4 linked regions of the Arabidopsis thaliana genome follow. The protein of the gene in region 4 interacts with the protein of the main gene of each other region in a pairwise test. Each region holds a gene or a part of one and is shown on either strand. Other genes may lie near its edges. The genes, in order: NF-YB5, NF-YB4, TCP15 and NF-YC8.

What was found.
Region 1: the proteins of NF-YC8 (region 4) and NF-YB5 interact in binary tests that used the Arabidopsis thaliana proteins (3 or more experiments, as listed by UniProt).
Region 2: the proteins of NF-YC8 (region 4) and NF-YB4 interact in binary tests that used the Arabidopsis thaliana proteins (3 or more experiments, as listed by UniProt).
Region 3: the proteins of NF-YC8 (region 4) and TCP15 interact in binary tests that used the Arabidopsis thaliana proteins (3 or more experiments, as listed by UniProt).

The regions. Positions count from the first base shown.
Region 1 is NC_003071.7:19,582,158-19,585,249, forward strand, and holds NF-YB5 (nuclear factor Y, subunit B5), read right to left. Parts: upstream 1,462-3,092; 5' UTR 1,264-1,461; coding exon 781-1,263; 3' UTR 501-780; downstream 1-500. UniProt on the Arabidopsis thaliana protein: Component of the NF-Y/HAP transcription factor complex. The NF-Y complex stimulates the transcription of various genes by recognizing and binding to a CCAAT motif in promoters.
Region 2 is NC_003070.9:2,908,010-2,910,745, forward strand, and holds NF-YB4 (nuclear factor Y, subunit B4), read right to left. Parts: upstream 1,024-2,736; 5' UTR 1,022-1,023; coding exon 602-1,021; downstream 1-601. UniProt on the Arabidopsis thaliana protein: Component of the NF-Y/HAP transcription factor complex. The NF-Y complex stimulates the transcription of various genes by recognizing and binding to a CCAAT motif in promoters.
Region 3 is NC_003070.9:26,214,373-26,218,690, reverse strand, and holds TCP15 (TCP family transcription factor), read right to left. Parts: upstream 2,683-4,318; 5' UTR 2,243-2,682; coding exon 1,265-2,242; 3' UTR 620-1,264; downstream 1-619. UniProt on the Arabidopsis thaliana protein: Transcription factor involved the regulation of plant development. Together with TCP14, modulates plant stature by promoting cell division in young internodes. Represses cell proliferation in developing leaf blade and specific floral tissues.
Region 4 is NC_003076.8:9,940,084-9,943,288, forward strand, and holds NF-YC8 (nuclear factor Y, subunit C8), read right to left. Parts: upstream 1,365-3,205; 5' UTR 1,217-1,364; coding exon 653-1,216; 3' UTR 586-652; downstream 1-585. Other genes in the region: AT5G27920 (F-box family protein), read right to left, coding at 1,980-2,225, 2,313-2,607, 2,690-2,819, 2,916-3,205. UniProt on the Arabidopsis thaliana protein: Stimulates the transcription of various genes by recognizing and binding to a CCAAT motif in promoters.

The sequences.
Region 1 (3,092 bases), on a different chromosome or scaffold from region 4:
AACAATATCGAAGTAGTAAATTTTATTTTTCTATATGATGTGTACGGAATAGCTAGCATTTTAGTGTGGATAAATGAATGCGAATAATCTATATGCAAATGCCATAATCTAAAAATATATCTAAATACTGAAAGTCGACTAAGTTTCGCTTTTTGTCGAAAGAAATCAATTGATTTAACTGAATAAGAATTCCACAAACTACGAAATTGCAAAGTTGATTTCTTATATATAGAGGGTTAAGTAGTCTAGATCAGAGGAAAGGGACATGGTAGTATATATCCTCACTGTCGAAATTAATCTACAAAGTTGATGATATATTAGTTCATCTTCATGATTGACGGTTTTAAAAGTTAGATGGTAAACAGTTAAAAACCGGTTTGGTTGGTTGTGGCAGGACTTGTGTTGTTGTATGATGCTCGATTTAATTTTATTTAATTATACCAGTCGAAAATTAATTAAATCTGAATAAATTGTTTAAAAAGCATTAATGAAGCAACCAAAAGAAAATCCCGAAAATGGTTCATAATATACACATCGATCGATCTCCACTCCAATATATGTAAATAAATAAAAATATAGAAAATAACAAAATCAGCTGGAAGAATTAACACAGATTTGTTCAGTACCTCACACCACATACATGTTATATCATCATATACATAAAATTTATTTATATATGTAGAACAATATATGAGAAGATAGAAAAAGATAGCTGGTCCTAAAGAGGAAGATGATGACATGGAGATTAATCAAGGAAAATCAAAAAGCGATGGAAGAATTTTAATTATCTGGCGAGGATTTAGGTCCTCCTTTGCCGTGATGATTAGGTTTCTCACCTTCGAGAACTCGGTAACGATGTAAGTACTTCTTGAGCTGGGCGGCGTAATCATCAAACCCTAGATTAGCCATAGCCCAACAGATATCGTCTCCATTAACGGTCTTTCGCTTCTCCTTGTGGCATTTATCGGATGCTTCTCCCGTGACGAAGCTAATGAACTCGGACACACATTCTTGCATAGTCTCTTTGGCTTCTTTAGAGACCTTTGCGTTTGCTGGGAGGATGTTCTTCATGATCCTTCCTACGTTTGCTATCGGAAGTAGCCTGTCTTGTTCTTTTACCATCATGCTTTCTTCTTGCTGTTGATCCTCCACCACCACCACTAACCCATCATGTTCATGTTGATGATTAGATGAGCTGCTCCCGAAGTTGTAATTCTGGTATCGAGGGATTGGATTTTGGAACGAATGATAATTCCCCGCCATCAGAATCTTATAATTAAAGCAGAGGATCTATAAATCTTGTTTGGTGAGGGGTTCGTTTCAGTATGATTCACAACAACGAATGATGATATAGAACGAAGATATGTAATTTGCCAAACTATATGGCACACAGAAAAAGGAGAGGTTTTAACATAAATGTGTTTATTATGTATACATCTAAAAAAATATTCGTTTTGACAGAGAGATTTGTGTAGTTAAATTAGCTTTATATATAAGTAGAAAGGCAAGAGAGCTAATTAAGGAGTATCTATCTATGTTTGTCTGGTCAGAGAATGGTGGTGACGTGTCATACAAACCAATGAGAGTGGTCTAGGTCACAGGGGAGACAATGTGGCAGGTCTAGCTAATTTCTCTCTCTCTCAATTTTCTTCTAATTATTTTCTCCTAAACCCTTTTGGTTGAGTTAAAACAATTAAAATGTAATCATAGAATAAGATGTGTTGCAAACAAAATAATGTTGAAATGTGTTAAGAATATATAACACATATATCATTCCTTTAGTAGTGAATTATCTCGCCTTTGGGAATGAATATGATATGATATCCTCAACGTACGTGAAGGCGAAAATAGTTTGGGGTTGATGACGTACTTGATGTTACCCTAAAAAGGAAGTTTTGGTCCTCCTGCTTAAGTCAATACCGTCTATCTGTGGATTGACTCCACACTCCAGTTAGTCTGGAAACTCTCCTCAACCAAAAATTATTCAATTATTCCACATTCCTCCTTAAGAGCTAGTCACTTTAATAAACGATAATATCGAACTCGTGGACCATATAAAAGCACGTCTTGTGGTCTATAATTAGTAGTCTGCTTGCCAAAATTGAAGAGGCTATAAATAATATTTGGTTGAATTATATTTTCAACTACTTATTAATAATGTTGTTTTAAAAAAAAAATCGTTTTTTAACTAAAATATTTTATATTTTCGAACTGAGGAAATACATAATTTTTTGTTTCACCACACTTTTGATATATATATTTTGTCAACACATTAGGTTTTTCTTATCCATCTAGAACTCAATCTCGATGATATAACCTACTTTAATCAAACTACCATTTAAATTCTATGAACTTTCAAATCAAAACTAGTTGGATTAATAATATATATATATATATATATATATATATTTCCTCTTATATGTGATTTTATGTTTTTACTTACTTTTTACCAGTATTTAATTATTAGACGAAATTTAGTTTATATCCGCAAAACAGTGATTTAGTTAGTTAACTAGCTATTTATATTTTAAACTTTAATTTATTTTGATTGGCTATACAGCATTATGTAAATTCTGCATTATATTGAGACGAAAACATTTACAAGCTTTGTCGCCTTACTATGGATGAGAATAATATGAGCTGTTTAGCAAAACATTCCCATTTATTATTTAAAGAAGTAATGTAAAGATAGATTTATAAATTACATAGAGGATTTTACAAGATTTTGGAGAGCATGGTGTTCTAGAAGTATGATATGTTGGCTATTATTTTATGTTATTTGTTTTCCCGAAAAACCTAAGTCATTAGTTAAATATTACAGCTACATATACATATATGTAAAATCATTAACAAAGTGAGGACAAGTGTCGACCGATGGTGGATCGGACCACCTTGAAACGGATAAACAAATGTTGAACGCCTTTAGATATTAATTAATTATTGAACGATGCATGATGACGTTCATAGCATTTCTATATTATAAACAGTAATTATTAGTATTACTTGCTCATTAACTTGGTTCTCTACCTCCTAATCAAAAGATGAAATTGACTCGTCATAAATGGTTTCAAACGGTTTAAGGTTGTAATAAT
Region 2 (2,736 bases), on a different chromosome or scaffold from region 4:
ATGTGAAATAAAATCTGGCAAGTGTCAACTTTCTAAGCTTCCTTCTCCTTTAATGTGAACTAATTACTTTCTGACTTCTTTAGGATTTCATTTTAAATGGTCAAGTCCCAATGCTCCTTTATTTTGGTTAACACTAGCCTCAGGCTCCAGAAGGCCATTAGGCATATGGGGATTAAAAAATATCATTGTTCTAGCCACTGTAACAGATCCATCAATGGATATATGCGGTAAGATATACAAAAAGCTCTTATTTTTTGGCCTATTATGTTTATGGAAAGCCTTGGATCGACCTATGCGGTGATATATATACCAAAAGGAAAAAGAAAACCAAAATCATCTTGCTAGTACCTTGTTTCTGCTATCTTCTCCTCTTCCTATTGTTCGAACCGACCAATATTCTAAGTCTAAATTACACGTTATTTGCTTGCAAGAAGAAATATCATAGATTTATATATATGTATGTAGAAACTCATGTTTAGAAATCAATTACAAACATGTACATTGTATTAATGATTCAACATTGACATTATTGAATCCTTCTGGTCTCTCTACAGATCTTTCTTGGCTTCATAGTAAATAATTCAGAACTTAGATGTCTAGTTCAACGGGCCGAGGAGCTGCTTCCCTTCTCAACAACTCTAATAAATTTTGTCGATTGGTTCTGTACATCACTTCTAGTGTTGGTTTCTTTCTCATTCCCACTATCATTGCTACCTTTGTTGTGCTCAGTTCTTTCTCTCTCGGCTTCACGGTACTTGTGAAGATGCCTACCCACGGCGTCAGCATAGTTATCGAGGCCGAGAGTGCTGAGAGCCCACCAGATGTCGTCTCCATTCACCGTCTTCCGATTCTCCCTGTGGCACTTCTCTGATGCTTCGCATGTAACAAAGCTTATGAACTCTGTTGCACATTCTTGAACTGTTTGTTTTGCTTCTTTTGAGATCTTTGCATTTGATGGTAGGATTTGCTTCATAAGTCTCCCTACATTGGCTATTGGCAACAATCTATCTTCGTCTGTCATTTTTCTCTTTTGTTTCAGTGAATCTATCAGCTCTCGCTTCTCTTATAACCTTTTTATACAAGTTGTCCTATATGACCCTCCCTCTCTCTATATATAGATTATATAGGGTGTGTATGTGTATGATGAGTAGATGTACTACTTGAACCTACTCTTAATTTATTACATACTATATATATAATATATGTCTAAGATTCTCTCTGTATATATGTATGTGAATTAAGCTTATATAAGCTATAGCAGAATCGTTTATACCTGTTTGGTGATTGTGGCTTAGCTTTGATCCATATGCATCATCAATCCGTCTAATACATACGGATATCTACGTACAGTACTGTATATGACAAGTTAATACTAAATTAATATCTAAAATTAAATCTTAACTTTAATTTTGATTAGAGCGTAGCTACTTTGGTAAAAGAAATTATTCTTGATGAAGCAATGGTTGGCTTATGGAATGTCAAAACCTTAATTGTATTATAGAAAATATGAAATTCGAGGCACGTAATCCGCATAATCCAGTACGGCCACTCGCATGCATTTGACCTTTGGTTTTAATATGTTTTAAAAATAAATACTTATTTAATTATTAGCAATACTGCGCAAAAATTCACCAAATCTATATAAAAGGCAATAGCTAAAAACAAAATATTGAGAAATTTCGTCGTTAGAAGTTAACCAATACAAATATTCAATGGGTCTATATTGGCCAAGTCATTGGTTTATATACTAAGAGCATGTGCATTTTAGATATGGGTTCAAACCCTAAGCATATTGTAAGCCACATGAGGCATTATGAAACGTCAAACTATCACGATTTTGTATCTTGTGGATTTGGATTTGGATTGTCTAAATATAATGATTTTATAATATTTTGTATAATCAAGAATTCCTAATGAATTGGTGATCGTAGGTGAACGTCTCTAGTCGAATATGTATCCTAATTTTTGGGGAAAATGATAAACCTTTCGTTTGGGAAAAAATATCGTAGAAGATGTGTGAACACACATTTTGTTCGAGTTCTTGCTAGTCTATTAACGGAAAGATGGAAAGTTTCAGGCATTTCCTTCTTCTTCTTTTTTTTTTTTTTTGGAGTTCTTAGAGCATTTCCTTTACATTCTGCACTTTATTCATGGTATAGAGAGGCTTAACTAATCATTATAATCTTTTTAAAGACATATATTTACGTAAGAACTTAGAATATACGCACTTAAAAAAAAAAACCTAGAATACGTCATTAATTAAAAACCGGATTATGCGATTTAAAAAGATGTTCTACATACTTCGAAACTGAGTTGACTTAACCATTCACAACCAATTAGAAAAAAAGTGTATGTAAAGTTTTATTTCTTTGTGAAAAGCATCACACTTTTTGCCCTTAATTTATCAATTGCATCACACTTCAATTGGAAAGTTGTTAACGGTCTCCTATTTTTTGCTTGCTAATTATATTGTATGCTTAAACATGATAATTAATAATTCGCCAATGCTGTCTTTTGTAACCCATGGAGTATTTTATTATTCTCATTTCATAGTGTATTGGTGGGTTTATTATTCTCTTTTCCAAATTCCAAGTCGGATCCCAAACTGAAAACAATTTTACGGTTTGCATGCCTTGAAATGATAGAAGAACCATATGGGCTTTCTGTTTTCTGATATTAAGTTTGTTTCACTTTTTCTTCGTCAATGGGTCCTTCAATTTTTAGCCCAATATTAAC
Region 3 (4,318 bases), on a different chromosome or scaffold from region 4:
ACTTGTGTATTTTTCTGTATAACGAAAAATTCCTGGTTATTTTGTATATCATCAATGTATATGTCTCAATTAATTATAGACATATATAATCTATGTTTCATCCAACGAAAACACTTCAGAAATAAATGATCAAGCTGAAATCTATAACCATCAAAAGTTTTTAGTTCTAACTTCAATCTATAAATTTGTTTATAGACATTGTTTTTAAAACACATTTTTCTCTGATTTTCAGCAGAAAATGAAATATATATTCTTGGTATTTTTTGGGTATCCGAAAATTCACAAATATTGACGTATAAATACAGGTTCCTGCTTGGTGATGAGTTTCATAGATCCAGAGATTGTAAATCGTACGTGAGTCTTCAAACATAGCACCAGACTAATTAAGTTCTTAGCTACCTTATACGGATAATGGACCTATATATTTTTTTTTTGATAATTCTCCTTGTATCTTTTGATTCATAATCAAATAATTTTGGTAATATCATTAGCAAAATTAAATGCCTTCAATTTTTGCAACGGCTATAAATTGAACGTATCCAAACCACCATGCGCATAAACCTACTGGCATTAATATGGCATCATATCTACAATGCATCCCCTCGTCAACACACTTATAATTAACCAAAACAATCACACTTAATGCTTTGACCTATATGATTTTGTTACTATATATATCTACATTATCTTAGCATAGTCACCAATAGACCAGTCAGGAGTAAGATGTTAATCATGCAAAGAAATTAACATATTAAAAGAGATAGCTAGAACCTGAATAATTGCTCACAATGCATAAGATGTAGCTTCTTCGAGACAATGTAACCATGAACGAAGTGGAAGATAATAATTTGGCATGCGAAATAATTTATTGATAATCCGTACTGAATTAATATACATATATAAAAATTGTTCAAAAACCCTAATCAAGTATTAGAAAACTCTCACACTCAATAGTAATGAGGAAAACATTTCACAAGACAACTACTTCAAGCAAAAATCTCTAGAATAATAAAACCAAAGCCTTGCATGCAAAAACCACAAACTAAAACATATCGATTATCAGGTTCTTAATTACTTACTCAATACATTAATCAGAAAAATAAACAAGATGAAATCCGTAGAATATTAGAATTTAGAAATAAATAAAAATATATGAAAAAGAAGCAATGCAAAAAAAACACGCTTGTTAAGAACAAACAAACAAACGAAAGGACAAAAAAAGAAAAATAAATCTCACAGAATATATTTGTTTGTGTATGTTTGCCTAGGAATGATGACTGGTGCTTCCATCTTCTTGATGGTTGTGATGATGATCTCCGTCACGGTTTTGCTGGTTGTTGTTATGGTTCCCCGTCTCCGCCACCGGTCGGTAAGCAGCATTCAACGCCGCTAAAACTCCATAATGGCTATGTTCTCCACCGCCACCTCCTCCTCCTCCATAACCAGAAGCCAAAGGCTGTCCAGAAAACAAAGCAATAGGAGCTGCAAAATTCATCAAATGAACTCCACTACCGCCGCCACTACCACCACTGTTGGGGTTGTAAACATCTCCGGCGACAACACCGGAATGATGAGGATTAATATTAAAAGCCCAAAGATTCTGTGTGTTGTCACCACTACTCCAAAACGGTGCCGTTGCAGGACTCTGACTCGTAGGTAAAGATCCAGCAGTTGATTGTACTAGATAGTTACCCATTTGGTTGTGATCTAAAAGCTGTGAAGAAGAAGAAGACGAAGAATGTGACTCGTTCTTGGGACGAACCTGATGCTGATGTTGAAGATGATGAGTCATGGACTGATGTGGTGAATGAAAGTAATAGCTACTAGGAGTTGTACGAAGATGAGCAGCAGAGAGAGAAGATCTTGAGCTACGAAGTGAGATGTTTAAAGAAGTGAAGTTAGCCGGAATGGTTCCAGTCCCTGTAGCGGCTATAACCGCTGGTTCTGCTTGTTGGAGTAGCCACTCAATAGTTTCACCGTCGGATTTGTGACCAAGCTCACGTGTGAGCTGAAAGACACGTGCAGCACACATGGCAGGCATACGGATCCGACGGCCTCGGCCTTCGACTTTGGTGTGTCGGTCTTTAGTAGAGGTTCGTTTAGGAGGAGGCTTCTTAGGTTCGGAGTTAGGTTCGGAAGTAGTAGAGATGATGGCTAAGGAAGTGGAAGAGGAGGAGGTAGAAGAATCAAGAAGCTGGAGAGGGAAGTTGGGTCGATGGTTATGATCCGGATCCGGATCCATGATGATGATGATGATGATGATCGAAGCTTTGGTGGTGGGGAAGTGGGACTATACTACTGTCTCTGTTAGATCTTTATGTGAGCCATAGTTTTTTTCTCTCTCTATAAATCTCTGTTTTTTTGCTGATACTTAGAGAGAGATAGAGAGGTTATAATATGGTCCTTAGGACATGAAACTCCTTTCAGATGGGAAGCTTAGCTGTGTCTATGTCTGAGAGAGAGAGAGAGATTAAAGCAATGAATATGAAAGCATGGACTTTTTTTTTCTCTTGCTGCTTTATATCTTTTGTGTTTTATTTTTGGAATTTTATTTACATTATAAACTATTCCCTTTGAGAATTTTTCGTTATTTTTGGAAATAAAAGAGATGGGCTTACGTGGTTCTCCAATCTGTACAAATATTCATTCAAATAAAATGTTTTTCCTTATTACGTACAGTGATCAAAGTGAGTGAAAATAAATGTTGTTCGTGTATTTATTGTGTTTGGATACATAGTTTTTTACAATAATACAATTACCCTATACGAACACTCTTTTTCATTCTTTACAATAATTAAAAAGTGACGTCAGTTTCTCGTCGTAACTGTTAACTTCAAGCGATCGGGAAATTAATTGCACATTTAGCGAAAATTTCAGCGATTCAGACAGAACTGAGAAGTTTACATATATTTTGTACATATGTGACAACAGAATAATAAATAGATAGAATTATTATTGACAGAATGACAGTGATTAATCCATGGCTCTATGGTAGTTCACGAGATCCACATGATATAATAGAATCCAACTGCTTTTTTTATGAAACAGATGGATTGTTTTTTCTCCTCTGTGACTCTTGAATGAGTTACCAGTTTGATATTATTATTTATAAAACCATAGTTACAGTGCTTTATAGATATATAAAAGCAAATTTGTAATGCTTCTCTTTTGTTTCCACCATTGGAGTTATCTCATTGACATACAATTGTCGTTAAAAGATGTAGCACTAAATTTAGAAAATTATTTTGATACTCTGATGTGGACAGAACATTGATCTTTTTTTTCTGAAACGAATTTTTATATGTAGTGAATAGTGATGAAGAAGGCTCCTTCTTATGTGATGATTATTCATATAAGCTGTTCAAAGAATCAAAATATACGGTGTTACATAGATTATACTACTAATTAGGACCAGCGTAATATATATATATATATATATATATATATATATATGGTAACGTTAAAAATATAATTGAATTAGAGAATACAAAAGAAAAAAATAATATAAAAGTAAATTCGAATTATTATGAAGATATTTTAAATAAATATTTTTTAAAAATCTCAAATTTGTGTTTTATAGAAATTGAGTGTAACAAAATAAATCCAAGTTATTACATAAACCAACATAAGCATGCATATAATAATTGCCAGGTAGTATATTTGAATATACATATGATTTTGTTAAAAGAAATGGAGAAAACCAATTATAAAAATTCTTACACATATTAATTTTGAGTTTAGGCAAATTCATCTTTCTTAGTATATATTGAAAATTGTAAAATATATTTGTTATAATCTTACTATTCTTTTTCAAATGTCTAAGCTTTATGAAGATAAAACTTCTCAAAAATCAAAATATAGTATTTTCTATTGTGGCTAATTATCGTCTCTTAGTTTAGACGAATCATTAACGTTACGTGTAAGGTGTAACTAGTTCTGATGATCTCTTAGGAACGTTGATTAGTCTAACTATTAGAAACTTTACGCATAGCCACATAAAACCTATGGGATGTCCAAACATTTTCGCCCAAACATATTTACAAATGACAAAATTTTATATTTTAATTACTTATATATGTGATATCTTTTTATGTTTTAACTAGAATATGTTCATTGACCATAATTTTCCCTCGTAAAATATAAATAACTAAAAGTATCGGCCTGCTTGTAGTAATTAGTAAACCAATCAAAATATCAAGAAAACTATATATCAAAGACTAAACAGAAAAGAAAACGAATTGATAGTTAAAAGGTGTTGTGCATATTTGACAAATCTAAAAAGCAAAACAATTACGATTCACAAATATGATCAGAAGAT
Region 4 (3,205 bases):
ACACAAACGGTGAGAACCCTATGCAGGATACTTATGTAAGTATACATGGGAAGACATAGAAGAAGATAGAGATAGAGGGGAAAAAGAACCAAACTTTAGATCTGGCCACAATCGTTAATTTCTATGCAATTGAAGTATAAAGAGGAAGAAATAGAAGAAGATCGGCAATAAATAAACGAAAATCAATGGCTTACCTTACCAGATTCGTCGGCAAGGGGAGGATCAGAAATTAATACTTGGATTGCTAACGGCGACAAGAACGAGAAGAAGGTTTCAAGGAGACAATCAAGTTCTGGGCTTGATTGAAGAAGATGAGAGTAACCGACGGTGAACGCAATCGCCAACGACGGCGCTAGATTTTGGGAGGATATTTTGCGGTGTGAAGAAAAAACAAGATTTTTATTTTCTCATATATTACTTTTGGTGCGAGAGAATGAATATAATGTTAGCTTCTGAATATTTCAAATTTCAAACCGAGAATCATCACGCTCCCAAATAGTGTATTGTCCCCTCAATGTCTAAGGTTATACATGTAATAATACATGTGTTTCCGACAGAACATTGTATCTCATGGCTATTTCTTTAAAAAAATTAGATCCATGACTATTTACTACATATTCCCTTGAAAATACCCTAAAACGTATTCCACTTATTAGTTTCCGTCGTCACCTCCTTTTTTCCCACGCGCTTCTTCCTCCTCACCAGACACCGAGGTCCAAGCTCCAGGCCATGCCTGCATTTGTGGTTGTGGTTGGTGGATTCCAAGACTACAACAAACAGGAGTTCCAATTACCATTCCTGGAGGCAGCTCTCCATCGTCAATAGGTGGCATGGCCACAGGATCAGCAGCGGCGGCAACAGACTCTCTCTTTACCTCAATGTCATCATCAAGCAAGAAATCAAAGATAACAGTTTGAGCCACTGCGGCATCGACATTAGATTTCTGTAGCGTGACTCGTTTGCTTTCCTGAGCATGGAGCCACGAACGCATCGTGAGATCCATGATAAACATCTCACATGCTTTCGAGAGGAGGATTGGAGCCTCACTAGCTATCATAGTCACATCCGGATCATACTTCATAATCTTCTTGATACGAGTTATAGGAAGGTCGTGATTTTTGAAATCTAAGTTACCTTCCATCTCTTTTGACCAGAAACTCTTCAGTTGCTCGTTACCTTTCGGTGGCAGCTGGTTGTTGCCGTTGTTGTTCTCCATAAGATTTTTTTCTTTTTTGAAGTTTCTAGTGTTCTAGGCTTGTTATTTTTTTATTTGAAGATTTGCATATATAAAGGAAAAGCTTAAGCATAGATTAGATATGGTGGGATAGTAAGCAGGTAAACTTTTACAACAATGAATCTTAACGCATTTAGTATATTGTTAAGAATATTTAATGATATTAACATTATTTGTTTGACTAACATTATTTGGTTATTATTATAAGAAGAAAAAAGAAAGTGATTTATTTTTACTTAAAGTGTATATATTATACCAATTAATAGTGTTAGAAAAAAGAAATAAAGTAAATACAAAACTATATTTTCTCTATAAAATTGCAAGATAATTTTTTGCTGTACAAAACTTATTTTGAATTATTTAGTTAAAAAATATGTTTTCAAATGTTAAATGTGAAAGCATAATTCATATCATTGCTCGAACACAAAGGAGTTACATGTTGCATCTGATTGGTTTAGCTTTCTGTTAGACTTCAAAAACATATGATCATCAGTTCATCACATAGATCTATTACACATCAACAACTTTCTAACTAGAAATCATTACTTAAGCGTTGTCCGATCTTTTTTACCGGTTATAGCAAAATATTTTACCGCAGCAATTCACTTAAACCGATTCATTTATATGGATCCAAAACAAACCGCTACTAAAGTTTCACTGATTTTTAACATTGAGATTATAAACATCAAAAACCTACAACAGTATAAACTAACCAACACAAGAAACCGCGTTGTTCTTTATGTTTTCAGTCCCATCTAATGCGGCAACCACGAGCATGAAGCGTCTCGAGCAATTCCGATGAGAGCAAGAATCTGAGAGGTGCGAGAAGTTTAAGCTTCTTGAGCCTATTGCAACAGGCTCTTAGAGCAAACTCAAACCCTTCTACAGTCACACGGCTCAGATGAACTAAGTCAACGTCTTGAACCCGACTCAGATTGCTCATCAACATGCATAGAGCCGTATCAGACACCGAGCAATTGCACAAGTTTATCTGCCAAACAAAACACACAACACAAGAATCAAACATGTTTCCAATAGATGCTTCCAGATCTCCATCTATAAATGTTATTTTTTGTACCTGTCGTAGGTTTTTCGAGAAGTAAGCGAGCGCCCAAAAACCCGAATCATCAATATTCTCGCAGAGTTTAACGTCCAAGTAACCCAATTTCTTGCAGCCGGACGCAATGGCTGCTAAACCAACACCGGTTATATTCTTTAGCCCTCGAAGTTCGAGGTGACTTAGAAGTTCTAGCTGCCGGATTTGTTCAACCCCGGTGTCAGTTAGTTCACAGCAGTATGATAGAATGAGTCGGTTCAAGCTCTTGCAACCTCGAGATAAAGCTGCTAAACCATCATCTCCAAAACCGGCACAGCTGCACTCAAAAACCAGAAATCAGTAAGAAAACGAAACATGTCTTGCACATTTTTCATCAAGAATCCACCAAGAAAGTGTACCGGTATAGATCAAGTTCTAGAAGCTTCGAACATTTGGAACCAATATGGAAAATCCCTTTGTCTGAGATATTTGTGCAGAGTCCAAGTTTCAATCTTTGAAGATTCGAACACTTCGAGATATATTCTAGCCCTGCGGTCCCAACGGAACAAAAAACCGTAAGATACCAAAGATGACAATATCTAAAACACAAACGGAGGTTTGAGTTCACATATATCTTTCTATTACCTCTGTCATTTACACCATAACAGTCAGTAAGATCAAGTTCTTGAACAAGCATGGAGTAACATCCAAGCGATTGAAGACCTTTCTCAGTTATCAAATGACAAGACTCTAACTTTAAAGTCCCTAGATTCCGGCAAGACTGAGCTACAGCAGAGATGGCTACATCCGTCACGAATCCGCAACACGCCAGATTTAATGTTTTCAGGTTTAAGCAGTTGCGTGCAAGACTTATCATCCCAATATCCGTCACATCAACACATCTGCTCAGTCCAATCTCCATTAAAGATCTACAG